Linked DNA regions of Callithrix jacchus. The protein of the gene in region 2 interacts with the protein of the main gene of each other region in a pairwise test. Links are inferred from orthologs where the notes say so. Each region holds a gene or a part of one and is shown on either strand. Other genes may lie near its edges.

What was found. The genes of interacting proteins can lie anywhere in the genome.
Region 1: the proteins of FAM9B (region 2) and HAPSTR1 interact in binary tests that used the Homo sapiens proteins (3 or more experiments, as listed by UniProt). The link is inferred for Callithrix jacchus from reciprocal best matches to the Homo sapiens genes FAM9B and HAPSTR1.

Annotation. Positions count from the first base shown.
Region 1 is NC_133513.1:11,321,224-11,329,066, forward strand, and holds the start of HAPSTR1 (HUWE1-associated protein modifying stress responses 1), read right to left. Parts: upstream 5,191-7,843; 5' UTR 4,792-5,190; coding exon 4,566-4,791; intron 3,905-4,565; coding exon 3,824-3,904; intron 1-3,823. UniProt on the Homo sapiens protein: Acts as a central player within a network of stress response pathways promoting cellular adaptability. The E3 ligase HUWE1 assists HAPSTR1 in controlling stress signaling and in turn, HUWE1 feeds back to promote the degradation of HAPSTR1.
Region 2 is NC_133524.1:9,241,432-9,248,237, forward strand, and holds part of FAM9B (protein FAM9B), read right to left. Parts: coding exon 6,775-6,806; intron 5,007-6,774; coding exon 4,895-5,006; intron 4,062-4,894; coding exon 3,950-4,061; intron 2,638-3,949; coding exon 2,539-2,637; intron 94-2,538; coding exon 25-93; 3' UTR 1-24. UniProt on the Homo sapiens protein: May play a role in meiosis.

The sequences.
Region 1 (7,843 bases), on a different chromosome or scaffold from region 2:
ATGCTCAAATACAGTTTCAAAATGCAGAGGCAAAGAAAACAAGCATCAAAGAAGAAAAAGATGAAAAGCTGAAGAACAATTAGAGAAGTGGCTCTATGGGCACAATCAAGCATGGGCTCACACAGCTGCTGGAAAGTGGGATCTCCGACGTAGGGAGCAAACAAAGGCAGGCTTGGCCAAGACTTCCCAGGTAAATATCAACCCTAGCTAGATTAAAAAGATTTTTTTTTTTTACTCCCTTCTGTAGTTGTGGGTATCAAAAAATACACCGATCTAAGGATACCACTGAATATTGAAGAAACACCATCCTCTTTGCACTTATCAAATCAAAAAGCAGCAATCAGGATTTTGGCTTCCTTTTTCTGAAAGGGGAAGAAAAGTCTTACCCCTACTATCTAGAGTATAAGGAATCATCCACTCCATTTTATTGAATTCTTTTTTTTTTCTTGAGACGGAGTTTCCCTCTTGTTACCCAGGCTAGAGTGCAATGGCGCGATCTCGGCTCACTGCAACCTCCGCCTCCTGGGTTCAGGCAGTTCTCCTGCCTCAGCCTCCTGAGTAGCTGGGATTACAGGCATGCGCCACCGTGCCCAGCTAATTTTTTGTATTTTTAGTAGAGATGGGGTTTGTTGACAAGGATGGTCTCGATCTCTTGACCTCGTGATCCACCTGCCTTGGCCTCCCAAAGTGCTGGGATTACAGGCGTGAGCCACCGTGTCTGGTCCATTTTATTGAATTCTATCCTTGCTAAAGGGACAAATTCAACTTACATTTACATTCTCTTCCAAATCTTTCTAGCCACATTCCAAGCAAACCAATGAACTGAATGCTCAACTTTTCAGAAGCCCACTGACAACTAAAAGGGACCCTTCTGCTGGGTTTTTATCTCAATCCTGACCTTGTCAATACTGACCTTCCTAATGAAGGTCAGGATTGAGATAAACACTTAATGAACTTCCTGGTAGTTATTAAGAAGCTAGTAGGAGTGCCAAACTGTCCCCAAGCTGCAAAATAAGCCACTTTTACCTTGCCAGATTAAGTGTTTAATTATACAAAATGCAGGAATGCTGCCTGCTACCCACTTAGAAGTATCTGCCAAATTCCCCCCCCAAATTTATATTCAAGTATTTAATCAGAACTATTCTCATTTAAATTTAGTACTACTTACTGCTGACTGCACTTGTGACACTACCTTGCTAATTTTATTGGTTCTATTTAAGGGAACCAATTATTCCTACAGCTGTATGCCTCTTCTCTAAAGACCACACCCTGAAAAGAAGAAAAAGTGTGAGGCTATCCAGAGTATTAACCACACACTCCTTGAATCAAATAAAATGATACTACACTATTGAATTCCACAAGACACAACTTAGCATTTGTTAGGCAAGAAGGGATGTGTTTTCATTGTACAGAAACAAGATACAAAATCAAACTAATGCAGACTAACAATCTAGTATTTACAATAATCCAAGAATCGTGATATTTAAAATAAAATTCATGTTTGTCAAGTTTTCTGAGCAGGAAAACTAGAAACTGTAACCATTTTTAAATAAAGTAATCAAATTAAAGATTATTTCAGGGTTCAACTGCTGAACCCACCTTCTTACAAAAAAAGTTAGCACTAAAGAAACTGCTAATGGGCCGGGCGCGGTGGCTCACACCTGTAATCCCAACACTTTGGGAGGCTGGGGCAGGTGGATCCCGCGGTCAAGAGACTGAGACCATCCTGGCCAACGTGGTGAAACCCCAGCTAGCTTCGACTGAAAGGGACACAATCTCCAAGCACACAACGGCACCAAATCCAGAGGACACTCACATTTGTACACGGCCTAGGCTAAGAGCTTGGTATATAAAAACAGTAAAAATGTGTTGCCTTCCCCTTCAAGCAAAAAACAACTACTAACAAGAGCAAAACAATAAACAGTGGTACCCCCACACCACAGTAATACTCGCCAATCAAAAGGCAATGAACTATGCACATCTGCAATGCAAACTCGATGGGTAAATCTTATCATAGTAACTGGAAGAAGCCAGACACAAAAGGCTACGAGGACTAGACGGTTCTATTTAGGAAATAATGGAGAAGAAAAAAACAGCAATCAAATCAGTGACTGTTAGGGCTGGAGTGGAGGTGACAGATTTAATCTACTTGTTAGTTAAAAAAAAAAATCAAAGTATACATCCAAAAAGGGTGATTTTACTGTATGTAAACTACACGCCAAGAAACCTTATATTTTTAAATAAAGTATTATTTCAAAATTCCCTTTTTGGACAAAACCAAGAGCCATTCTAAAGAGAATGTTCAAGACCCTCAAGCACGGATGGATGATGCTGAAACAGTTTACTCATTCATAATTTAAGAAACAGCTATAGAGAAATCAAACTTAACCACTGGGCACTATTTAACCATGTTGCCCTTTTTTCAGTATGGTTGGACTACTACTTTAATAGTTCCTCATTCCCTCAAGTAAGTGTTCCTTTTCACCACTTTGTAACCAGTTCTCAAATTACTGTCCCAAAAAAGTGTAGTCTTCTCAAAAAAAATCTCACCGTAAGAGCTATTTTTCCTACAGAATGCTGTGGCCATTTGCACATTCTTATGCAAAAACAGTAACTTGAGAGTCAAGAAGCAGCTTCATAGCCTGTTCCAATCTATACTGGTATTTTTTAAAAGCACAAAAGTCCTTTACTGTTCTGAGCAGCTCTTAAAATGTAGCCTATTCCAACCTACATTGATATTTTTAAAATGCACAAAATTCCATTACTGTTCTGAGCAGCTCTTAAAAAGTCTGAAAGCATTTTAATTTAATCACATTTTTCTTAATATTAACAAAGTCAAACCTTTTTCCTAAAAAACCTTGCCATTACTCGGATCACCTGAGGTCGGGAGTTCAAGACCAGACTGACCAATATGGTGAAACCCCGTCTTTAAGAAAAACAAAAACAAAAAAAACAACCTTGCCATTCCTGCTGAGCAGTCTAGGAAAGAAAACAACAACAAACAAACAAACAAACAAAAAACCTTGCCAAAAAATTCAACCCCAAATTTCCCAATCTAATCAGTAAGGCACAAAATGTAAACCCACCGTTACCATGAGAGCACAAAGGCCAAGAAGGTTTACCAACACATCTTCATGTCATCACAAAGCGGGGAATTAACTCCAGAAAGGCACCCTCATAAAACACAAACCGATGGACAAAACTCTCATCAAAGCTCCTGCCGGCAACTTATACCCAAATATAGGATCGTTTTGACAGAAAACACTTGATGGAATTGCTAGAGAAAAGCACTCATGCACGTCCAATTAGCAAGCTTTCAAGCACTTCAACGCCATCAGACTGCCACACTCTCAAATGCCTAACTCAAGAATCTTCTCTATAAAGTTCGCCCCATCTCCAACTGTGGTACAAAAAACATCAACTCTTCTCTCAGTCTTTTCCAGAGGGAAGAAAGGCTTCAAGTTCAAGGCCTCTCAACCCGGGCACTACTGACTTTACGGGTAGCACAATTCTTCGCTGAGGCGGTAGTGGGGGGCTTGGGCACTGCAGGACCTTTAGCAGCCTCTATCTACTGGGTGCCAACAGCAGTCCCCTCTCGGAGAAGACAACCAAAAATGTCCCCAGGCGTTGCCATCTGTGGGGGGGGGGGAGGTGTCAAAATCGCCTCCGGATCTAGCTAGAGCACCGCCGGGATTCTCAAGTTGCAACGTATTCAAGATTAGCAGCTGGGTTGGGGAGCAGAAAACACACTTGGAACGCAGGGCAGACACCCTGACGCAGGCGGCCCTTCCCTGAATCGGCAATGCAGCAAGGTTATCTTTACCTTTGTAGAGGTTGGTGACGGCGGTGGCTGCGTTTTGGAAGGGGACCCAGAGAGAAAGTCCTGGCTGCTGACACACTCGGTCTGAAAAGCAAGCCCAAAAAAAAAAAAGAAAGAAAGAAAGAAAAAAACACACACATAGAAAGAGAAAGAAACAGAAAAAGAATGTTATTTGGGCGTCAATCATTCCAAAACGGCCATATTAGGTTTCGCCATTTTGTTCAAGGGTTTCGGGATCCCAAACCCAGTGGAAAAACGGAGGGTAGGGGCGATCGAGGCGGAGAGAAAGGGAAGCCGTAGGGCTCAGGGGCGCAGATCAGGGACGATCGGCGGCGCAGGGAGGCGCCCCCCCTCGGAGTCCCCGCCCCGAGGCCGGCTCGGGGCACAATGGGGCCGCCCCGCCGTCTCCCTTCGCCATTTTGTGACCGGGGGCTCCTCCCCTCCCCCTGCCGGGCCGAGGGGAACACCCGGCGGCCGGACCCGGAGAGCGGGGTCCTAGGACGGCACCAAAGCGGGACTCCCCCGACGCCGGCCCCGGCCTGCCCCCGGCCGCGCCTGCCCCCCAACCCTGGACCTCCCTCCCGCGGCGCCATCTTTCGAGGAGGGGGCGACTGGGCCGCGGCGCCACCGGCCAGGATCCCTGAGGCCGCCGCCGTCGCAGCCCCCAGAAGCGGCCGCTGAGCCTACAAGGCCCGGCCCAGGTGGGGGCGGCCAGGCGGCACCAAGATGGCGGCGGCGGCCTCACCTTTGTAGAGCTGAGCGACGGCGGTGGCCGAGTTCTGGAAGAGGTGCCACAGCTTCTGCTGCTTGTGTTCGGGCTGCGCGGCGGCCGCTGCCTCCTCCTGCAGCTCGGGTGGCAGCTGCTCGTCCTGCTCGGCCTCGGCCAGGCACTGCCGCTCCCACTTGGAGAACCAGTGCTCGGGCCCGTGCTCTTGGATCTCGGCCTCGCCCTCCTCCTTCCGCTCCTCCATCCTCCGCGGCCTCCCGCGGCCTCTCCGCCGCCGCCGCCGCGTCCTTCTCAGGTGGGGCCCCCGCGGGAGCGTCGTCGTCGAACGGCCCGGCGACAGGGCCTGGCGGCCGACAGCGCCTTCTCCTTGCACCGACCCAGGCCTCCAGTACCCCGACGGCCGGCTAGCCCCGCCCCGCTGCCCAGCGCAACCAGGGACGACCCCCGCCCCAGGCCTTCCCACCCCCGGGCCCGACCGAAGGTCGCCCCGGACCAGATGACCGCTGCCGCCCCTCGCCTCGCCCTCCGGAGCCGATCTAACGCTCCCTCATGGCGCAGCGGCCTCCCCAATGCCGCTGCCGCTGACCGCCGAGCCCTCCACGCAGTCCAGCCTGCGCCGCCGAGCCCACCCCAAAGACTGAACGACGTCGTCGCCGCCGCCGCCGCCAACGACGCCTCTGCGGCTGCTGGTCCCCGCCCTCCCCCGCCCACAAGCTATCTTGAGAAGCGCCGCCCACTGGGCCTGAGCTCCCCAGCCTGGTTGGGGCGCGGCCGTTCCAAGGGCCCCTATTGGTCGGATGTGACCGGTTCCGCGTGCCGGCTTCTGAAAACAGCGTCGTGATTGCTTGGTTTCTCGTACTGTCTGCCTGAAGTAACCAATGGGCTGGGGGAAGGGAGTAAATGTCAGGAAGGATGAAGAGGGAGGGGGAAGAGCTAGCAGTGGTGGCATCCGAGCCAAGTTGGGGGCGGGGTGGGGGGTGGGGTTGTGGAATCGAGAGCATGCGCATGCGCACTTGCTCGCTACCCGCGAGCTCTGGGCAGACCAGTGAGGATCACGTGACAAAACCCATCAACCGCACCCCACGGGAGCTTTTCCGGCGTTTACAGGCCCTGGGGTATGCGAAATCAAGTGCGGCAGCTGTGCCGTGGACTTGGAGAGGTGTGGTGGGTGGCTGCGTGCTTACTCCAGCACCTGGGACTCCCAAAGGGAGGAGGGAAGTAGAGAAAGTGAATAAAACCCCCAACTCCGAGTTTGCAAAGAGTTTTTCTATTCTTTTGAGTACCCCAACTCTTTATTTTGAGACGGCGGTCTCGCTACATTGTCAAGGCTGGTCTGGACTCCTGGCCTCAAGCGATCCTCTCGCCTCGGCCTCCCAAGGCGCTGGGATTTAGAGGCTTGAGCCATCGCGCCCGGCACAGAGTCTCATTTCTTAAATGGGCAAATCGAGTGTCAGAGCCAAAGAAAGGCTTACGAATTGGGAAGTCGGCTCAGCGGCCCCTGCGCCCTGACCCCCCCCTCCCGGGACATTGCGCTTTGGGTGGACATGACCTCGACGACCACCTTGCCGCCCGCAGAGCCGAGGATAACCCGACGGGCGAGGCTGCGGAGGGCCCGCACACATCTTCGTCTTCGCGCTCCCGGTGGCCCCCGCACCTGTCCCGAAAAGCACACTCCCTGGCCACGTGCACGCCCGGCGTCACGCACCAGCCCCTGCCTCCCCCTGCCGGAACCCGCGGGGCGGCGGCTACCCCGCAGGGCGGGATCTCTGGGCGCCCCTGCGGCTGCGCGCCCCCTTCCCCTGCTGGAGCTTCCCCGGGATCTGGCGCCCGGGAGAAGGCAGCCACGCAGGCAGGTGGTGACCGCACAGAGGCAAAACCCACCATCCCGACCTACACTCCCACGGCTGGCACCAGCTGGCCTGGAGCCGCGGAGGGGGCCGGCCAGGGGCAGCGTCGTTTCAAATCAGCAAGGCAGATTTGAAAATCTCCCCCACCCCACCGTGGCCTGCAAACTCCGTGGCTCTGGCGCCTCTCACACAAAACCTTAGCCGGCTCATGCCCTGCCCCCCAACCTGACACACACACACACACACACACACACACACACACACTTGCCTTATTTCTCTGGGACACCAGGCTCTTTCCTGCCCCGGTCTGCTCTCTGGAAACTTTTCCTCCTCTTTCCTCAGATAGCTCCCGTTTAGGAAGCCTACTAGGACAAGCCTAAAGTAGCACCCACCACACTCTTTCCTATTGTTTGGTAATATTTTTTAATAGCATCAGTCACTATCTAAAATGCTATATTAGGCCGGGCGCGGTGGCTAAAAACATAGTTCCAATTGCAGGGAAGAATATAAAGTGAAAAGCAAACAAAAGTCATTCTACCTACCTCATTCTACATCCTCCCAATCCTATTCCCAAGAAATAATTTGTTACCTTTCAAAATGGAGTTACGTGTACGTCAAGTGTGTATGTATGTGTGTACCTCTATATGGGTATGTCCCTTTTTAAGGAAAAAAAGGTGATTTTATGTATACTGTCCTACAAACCTTTTTCCCTTAACATAATTTGGATGTCTCCACATTGGGACCTAAAGGCTTATTTATTTTTAAAATATTGCAAAGAATTTTATTGTATGGATTCCCTACAAAGTATTTAACAGGGACCCTATTAATACAGATTTAAGTTATGACCAATCTTTGGCTATTATAAGCAATGCCGTAATGAACATCTTATACATACATACTGCAGTGAACAGCCTTGCATGTATACATATGTGTATGCAAACATATATCCTCAGAAATAGTATTTTAGAGTCACAAAGTATATGAGTTAAATATTTTATGAGGCTAGGTGTGGTGGCTCACACCTATAATCTCAGTAATTTGGGAGGCCAAGGCAAGGGGATTGCTTGAACTCAAGAATTCAAGACCAGCCTGGGCAGCGTGGTGAAACCCTGTATCTACTAAAAAATACAAAACTTAGCTAGGCATGGTGGTACGCACCTGTAGTTCCAGCTACTCAGTAGGCTGAGGTGGGAGGATCACTTGAGCCCAGAAGGCGTAGGTTGCAGTGAGCTGAGATCGTGCCACTGCACTCCAGCCTGGGTGACAGAGTGAGACCCCATCTTGATCAGTCAGTCAATAAAACTACCTGCTGAAGTGTAGGACCAATGGTTGTTGATATGTCAATTTCTACATTTCTGCATTCTGCAGTAGCAGGTGAGAAGTCCAGGCCTGTCCATGTAGGTATGACAAAGGAAAGAACAACACAACTGGATCATTTTGCTGCCTCCA
Region 2 (6,806 bases):
CTCTGATACAATTCAAAAACATGGCTAGTTATCAAATTCACTGTCTTCATCAGAAAAAACTCCATGATAATAGTCTTCAAACTTCTTGATAACCTAAAACAAAAAGTCTAGTTCACTGACAAACCACCACTTTACATCTAGCACTAAACAGGGTTAATTAAATGTCAAAAGGAAACAGTTTTAATATTCAAAGGATGCTGGTTATTTATTTCAAATTGAAAAAACTGTAGTCAATACATGGAGCTCCAAATACTCACTTAAATGTTTTAATGCCAGATTTCAGTGACATACTATTTTAGCAGGTCCAACAGTCATGTGCTTTGCTTGAATAAAATGGGTTGAAGAACTTCTTAAGGTCAAGATGAAGTAAAGCCAGAAAAAGACTGGCAGTCTTGTATCATGAAATATTATATTTTTTGAGCAGGTAGTGACCCATGTATTATCAGCAATAGTCTATGTAACATGGTTTCCATTGAAGGGATAAAATGGTTGGTGATATGATCTTAACAAGTTAGAGAAAATGTAACTATTTTTGAAGAATATTCTCTCTGCTCAAACATAGTTCAATAGTCCCTGCCCCCTAAAATGTTGTATGTTAATGCTGAGGAAGAAGTAAAAAAATAAATAAATAAATACAGGATCTCTTCCATATTCCTGTGATATGAGCAAATGCACAAATTTAAAAAAAAAAGTAATACAACAATTGTGTAACTGCTGTGGAAGGGCAATTCACTCAAACATGTAGCCAAAGATGGAGACCGATGTGGACTTAGTTGGCAAAAGGTTTCAATTGGTCAAAGAAAAAAGAAAAAAAATTTAAAGCATTGTGAGGGAAGAGCATGAGAAAAGCATGGGAGTAACAGTGAGTTCCTTCAGGGAAGACCGTCAACCTGCAGAGGCGGGAGCAAAGACACAGGGCAGCAAAACAAGCCTAAGATGGGGTCATGTAAAGGGGAGAGTCTCCGAATATCTAAGAACTGAGACATGGGTAGCACTGACAGGCAGGGAAGAGGGAAGGGCTAGGAAGCATTTTGGGAAGGGAAGGGTTTTAGGAAGATAGTATTGGGGATCAATGAAGGATGGCTCAGAATAGAAGAGAGAACTCATAAAAGAGTTTAATAGTACGAGCAAGGCTGAAACAGGAGAATCGTTTGAACCAGGGAGGTGGAGATTGCTGTGAGCCAAGATCGCGCCATTGCACTCCAGCCTGGGCAACAAGAGTGAAAGTCCATCTCAAAATAAATAATTAAATTAAATAGTATGAGAAAGGAAGAATGAGGCTTTGAACTAGTGCAGCCTCAGTGGGAATTTAAAGAAAGACATTTAAGGACCATTGCAGAGGTGAAACTTGCCTGGTGATAACTGGATGGGAAGGATAACGGACTCAGAAGAGTCCAAGATGATAGCAAAGTTCCTACCCTAAGTGGTAACATGCAGCATTAATGTTGACAGGAAAACTTCTAGTTTCATGTTCATACCAATTAATAAATGGTTTCTGGGGAACACTGTAGCAACAAGTTCTCTACTTGTGACTTCTATTTAAATAACTTTGTATAGATCATCCTCAAGTTGCTCGAAAAGGTTATTTTCAAACTATTTTCCCAGTTTATTTAACACATCTCAGTTAGTATGGAAGAGTGACATATGAACATGTATTTTCACAAGGTTATTAAAAAGAATACCTTGCTTCCCTAAAAGTAATTGCATTGTTTCCTAAATTATATACATCTACATGAAGAAGAGGTCATTGTCCAATGACTATTTGCCAATGTGCTGTACGACAGCAGGTAATTCCCAATTCACAATGCGTTAATAATCTGCTGACTTTCCCATTCTGTTATACATCTGAACCATCTCTTATGATTGCAAATTGTCATGTAAAACCATTACTAGTCAATGATAATTTTGTAAGTGAATATGCAGTAAAACACCAGTGTATTACAGCAGGAAACAAAAGAGACACTTAGTAGTTACACTTGCCTACTTCCTATTTATCTAAAACTGTTGAAACAACACAAGTATAAAAGACATCCAGAAATGATTTATGGACTTCCTGCCTTTCACCATAGATTCGCTGCTGATGTCCTGAAAACTGAAAATAAAATCTTCATTAAAACCCATTTCTGCCTAGTGTTCCATTGTTGGAATTCTAAGCTTGTGGGAATCATGTATATCCTACTGTTCAAAGGTCATAGCAGGGTCTGATTTTTTCACACACAAAAAAATTTTGCAACCTCCTGCATAAATAGGTTAATGTGTTAGTAAAGTATCAATTATATACATAAGATGCACATTTCTAGGTAAAATTTCCAATTTACCTTTTCCTATTCTAAATAACTCCCACAAAACTATTCATGAATCCTAAAAACACATTTACCAATTATGTTAAATCTGGAACAATACATTCAAAGTGAAAATGGTGAGTAATTTAAAATGTATAACTAAAATGTCTTTCCATACATTCAGAAAGAAGCAGACTGTCTTCTATTATGCACGTGTTGTATTTTATAATCTATTATGTTACCAAATAGAACAAACCTTTACAAATTCCTCACGTAGCAGCTTCATTGTTCTCAGCCTCTCTCTCCTCAGACTTCTATGTCGGTACCACCTCTTCTGTTGTTCTTGAAATATTTTCTAGAATTACAAAACAAAATAGTGATAAAAATTGGGCAAATTTTAATACTTGCAAAACAATTCTGCATTAACTTTAAAGGAATACTCTTTAAATCAATATTTCTGAACACTTTCTTTTAGACAACATTTAGGACGAATTTTAAACAATTGTGTTCACCAATCACATGCTAAAATGATGTAATAACCTTTTTTATCTGTCATTGAGTAAAAAATTTTCTTTCTTATACATATTCAACACATGTCCTAATTCTTGATTTCAAATGAAGAATATTTGATGAACCTTCCTATAATTTATTGACCATAGATAGTTAAGATCTATACAGAAATTAAGAAACATTCTTTCTAAGATTTTAAACATGTATTAAATTTTGGTCATTTCAATATGCACATAGATGAACCATCCAATAATGACTGCCTTTCTAAACCTTGACCTAGTCTCCAACTACAGTGTTCTTCTCTCCTCTACGTGACACTCACTCACACAGTCATCCCCCTAGATTTTGTCATTACCAATGACTTCAACACCTACATATTATTAATAATAGCAACGATGAAGAGCAACGATGGGTCAGATCACATCCTGAAAAATTTAAATAAACCTGTTACATAGAAACCCTTTAATCCTCCAAACAACTCTTAGGTAGGTACTCTTACCATGTCTCCTTTAGTAGATAAGGAAACTGAAGCACAGAGATAAATAATTTGCCCATGATTTCCGAGCTAGCAATAGTCAAACTGGAGTCGGATCCCAAGCAGTGTGGCTGCAGACTCTCAGCCCTTGACCACCAAATTCAGCTATTTCTCCATCTTCCCAACATACAGCCACTACCTCCCTGCCATTGTGGGTCACTCACTTCAGTAATACAGTTCAAAAGTCTGTTGGGACCTGACACCCACTGAGTGGAGTACTTTTCACTGACCATTGCCCACCCCCATGTGCTCAGGCAACTCAGTCCCAGCTGAAATTCCACAGCCAGTCATCACAACCTCATCCCTGTATCTATGCCCTGCCCAACTCTCCCTAGATCAACATGCTCAGCTACACTCCAACCCAGGAAATTCCAACCCTACAGGAGCTCTTACACAAATATGCCAATTGGGCTGGCTTTAACTTCTTAATTGCTATGACACTGACCTCAGTTGGACCCCTAACGCTGCATGGCAATTAAATTCCCCTAGTCCATGAGTCCACTAATGGGTCCCCCTCTCTGGGCTCATGCTCTCTTCCTTCTTTGCTGGATGTCTGCATGAATTAATACTACCTGAGACATTGATACAATAGGTTAATCATAAATCTAAGCCTGATACCAACAATTAGTTCTTCTTCTTCTTTCTCTTCTTCTTCTTCATCTTTCTGCTCGTATATGATGAATTCATCAAGGACATTCAGCAACTTCAGAGAATGTTTATAATCACGTTTATGCCTGTAACACATAGTAAGTAACATGGTCATATGTCATAAAGAGATGAAAAATTAATCCTATTCAAACCAAAACTGACTTGACATAATTTATACTGTAAAGTAGCAAGGGAGTAATAGCAGCTGAAATCTTGTTTGGGGGGAAAGGTGAAATGAGTTATTCTTATTATGAAGGGATTCCTTCCTAACTGACTACTAGAGCAGCTGTCTTACATTCTTTATGTGCCAAAGACAAAGGAGGGTTTACTGCACTATAAATCTCTCAGAAATAATCATTTTCTCTAAGAGCAGTTTACTTTCATTTCCTCTTACTGAACAACATATGGGTTCTCATAAGTCGGTTCAAGAATATCACAGCCATTCATCCTGTAAGATTTCCCAAAAGAAATACTTCACTTAACTACATCTCTACTTTGGCACAATGATTTTGTAAAATAAATAGTGAAAACAATTTAACTAAAATAGATAACTTATTTATAACAAGTTTATCCCTCTCTACATAATTGAGTATCGTTAAGGATCTGCAGACTAAACATTGAGGACATTTATCTTTTATTCAACTTCCATACTTCTATAAATGGATAAAAATTAATTTTACAGGCAAACTCTTTTTATCTAGAAAGCAAAAAGAGGTCATCTTCATTGGCTTCTAGGTAATATCTTTCAATTCTGTTAAACCGAGGTTATAGAACTAAAGAAACTTACTTAGGGAGCAGTCAAGTAAAATATGTTGTTCACTAGAGACGAAAATATGTACAGGATAATTTTTGAAATTATTTGCACCAACGAATACAAAGAAATAATATAAATATCATTATGCAAAAAAAGCCAACATACTTTTTAAGTTGTTTTTTCCTCAAAGCACGTTTACTTTTCTTTGCTTTGTGGCGAGCCTCTGTATCCATTTCAATCCTTCTTCTTTTTGCAGCAAGATCCTCGCTAATGCCAGCTAGTTAGTAAATGAAAATGCACTAAAAGTTAATGTTGACAATTAGTTTATTTGCATATATTGACATCAATATCGGACAATATGGTTCAGCAATATCAGAAGGATATTTAAAATATATAAAGCAAAGATCATTTCAAAAAGCAAGATTTACTCACTTATTTTCTGTAAAATCTTTCAGGTGTTAATATTACTATTGCAATTCCAATTGGTATAACTGCAAATCACTTAATTGACAGATGATGAAAAAGCAAGTAATTAAAAGTTTCTATTGTTTAAGTGTGCAGAAAAGTTTATAAGCATAGACTTTAATTTCTACATTTATAAAATGTCCTACAATTCAAGGGACATGGTTCCATGAAATACTATCAAAACTCATTATGTAAAGCACACAAAAAAGTATCTTATTTAATAAGACCATCAAAAGGGTAGAAATAAGTTAATATGCAATAAGAAAAGTATTTTTAAGCAATCTACTGATTTATGCTATTAACTGTATTTTAATAAAAGAAGCAAAAAGAAGCAACATCCATGGGTATAAAAATGTAGGTTTATATAAAGAAATACATTCAGAAACACTTTTGAAATACTTTCTTGGAGTTTTTATATGATATTTTTATCCATAGTGCTGTGTTTCAGAAAACTGTAATACTGCAAGGAATGCTTTCCTAAACACGATTTTGCATAAGAGATCTACCATCAAGTACTAAGAATAGTTTTCAGCAATCATAAAAGATCTGCACCATAATACAAATATTTTTCAAATACAGTATCAATCTATAACACACTCAATGTATTAGGCAACTCACAAAACCAGCACTTTGTCACCACCAAGCGAGCAAAGCTTTCCAAATATTCTGCTTATGTGTATTATCGCTATAGAAAAGCTGAAAACTGAATTGAGCTTTTTAAAAATAAGAGTATTGTCTCCATCATCTCTACAGAAATTTTCTCAAACTTTTTTGAAAATACGGTCCTATAACAGTCAGTGCAACTAACATGTAACATGCCTATACAAAATGTATGAGTTTTTGGATCCAATGACATGTTTCCCACTGGGTAGAAAAGTTGTCTTTCCTTTTCTACTACACAGTTTATTGCTGGAATAATAATAGAAAATCATTTTCGAGAATTCAATTTTTTTAAACAAAATCAGAAAGCTGTGACAATAGAATAGCTGAATTAGAAAGATGAAAAACTCCTATTAAACACTCTGAGTACATAGGGACAGGAAGAGGAGAACAACAGACACCTGGGCCTACTTGAGGGTGGCAGGCAGGAGGAGAGTGAGGATGAAAACCACCCAGCAGGTACTATGCTTATAATCCTGGGTGACAAAATAATCTGTACACCAAACCCCTGTGACACGCAATGTATCTAACAAACCTGTACATGTACCCTCAAACCTAAAGTAAAAGATTGAAAAAAAAACTGATATATGACTTAATCTGTGTACACTGAAAGGATTGAATAGAGCTGTTTCTCCTCCAATGTCCTCTAATATCCCCCAACAATTAACTTTCCATGTGTATGAAAGAAAAGCCATCCCTCTCGATTCACCATTGTTAGAAGCATTCTTACATTACACATTAATGATCACAAAGGTAAGAAAAATTTATCAAACAGATTATGGTAAATACTTAAGTTAAATGCTACATATGAGAAGAAGGCATGTAAGACAGTCTGTCATCCACTAATTCACATAACCTACTGTAACAGTTGTACCGTTGAAAACAATTTTCATAAACTACAGATACTTCCTAAGGCATACCTGCAATATCTTCTGGCTTGTTGGTATCAACC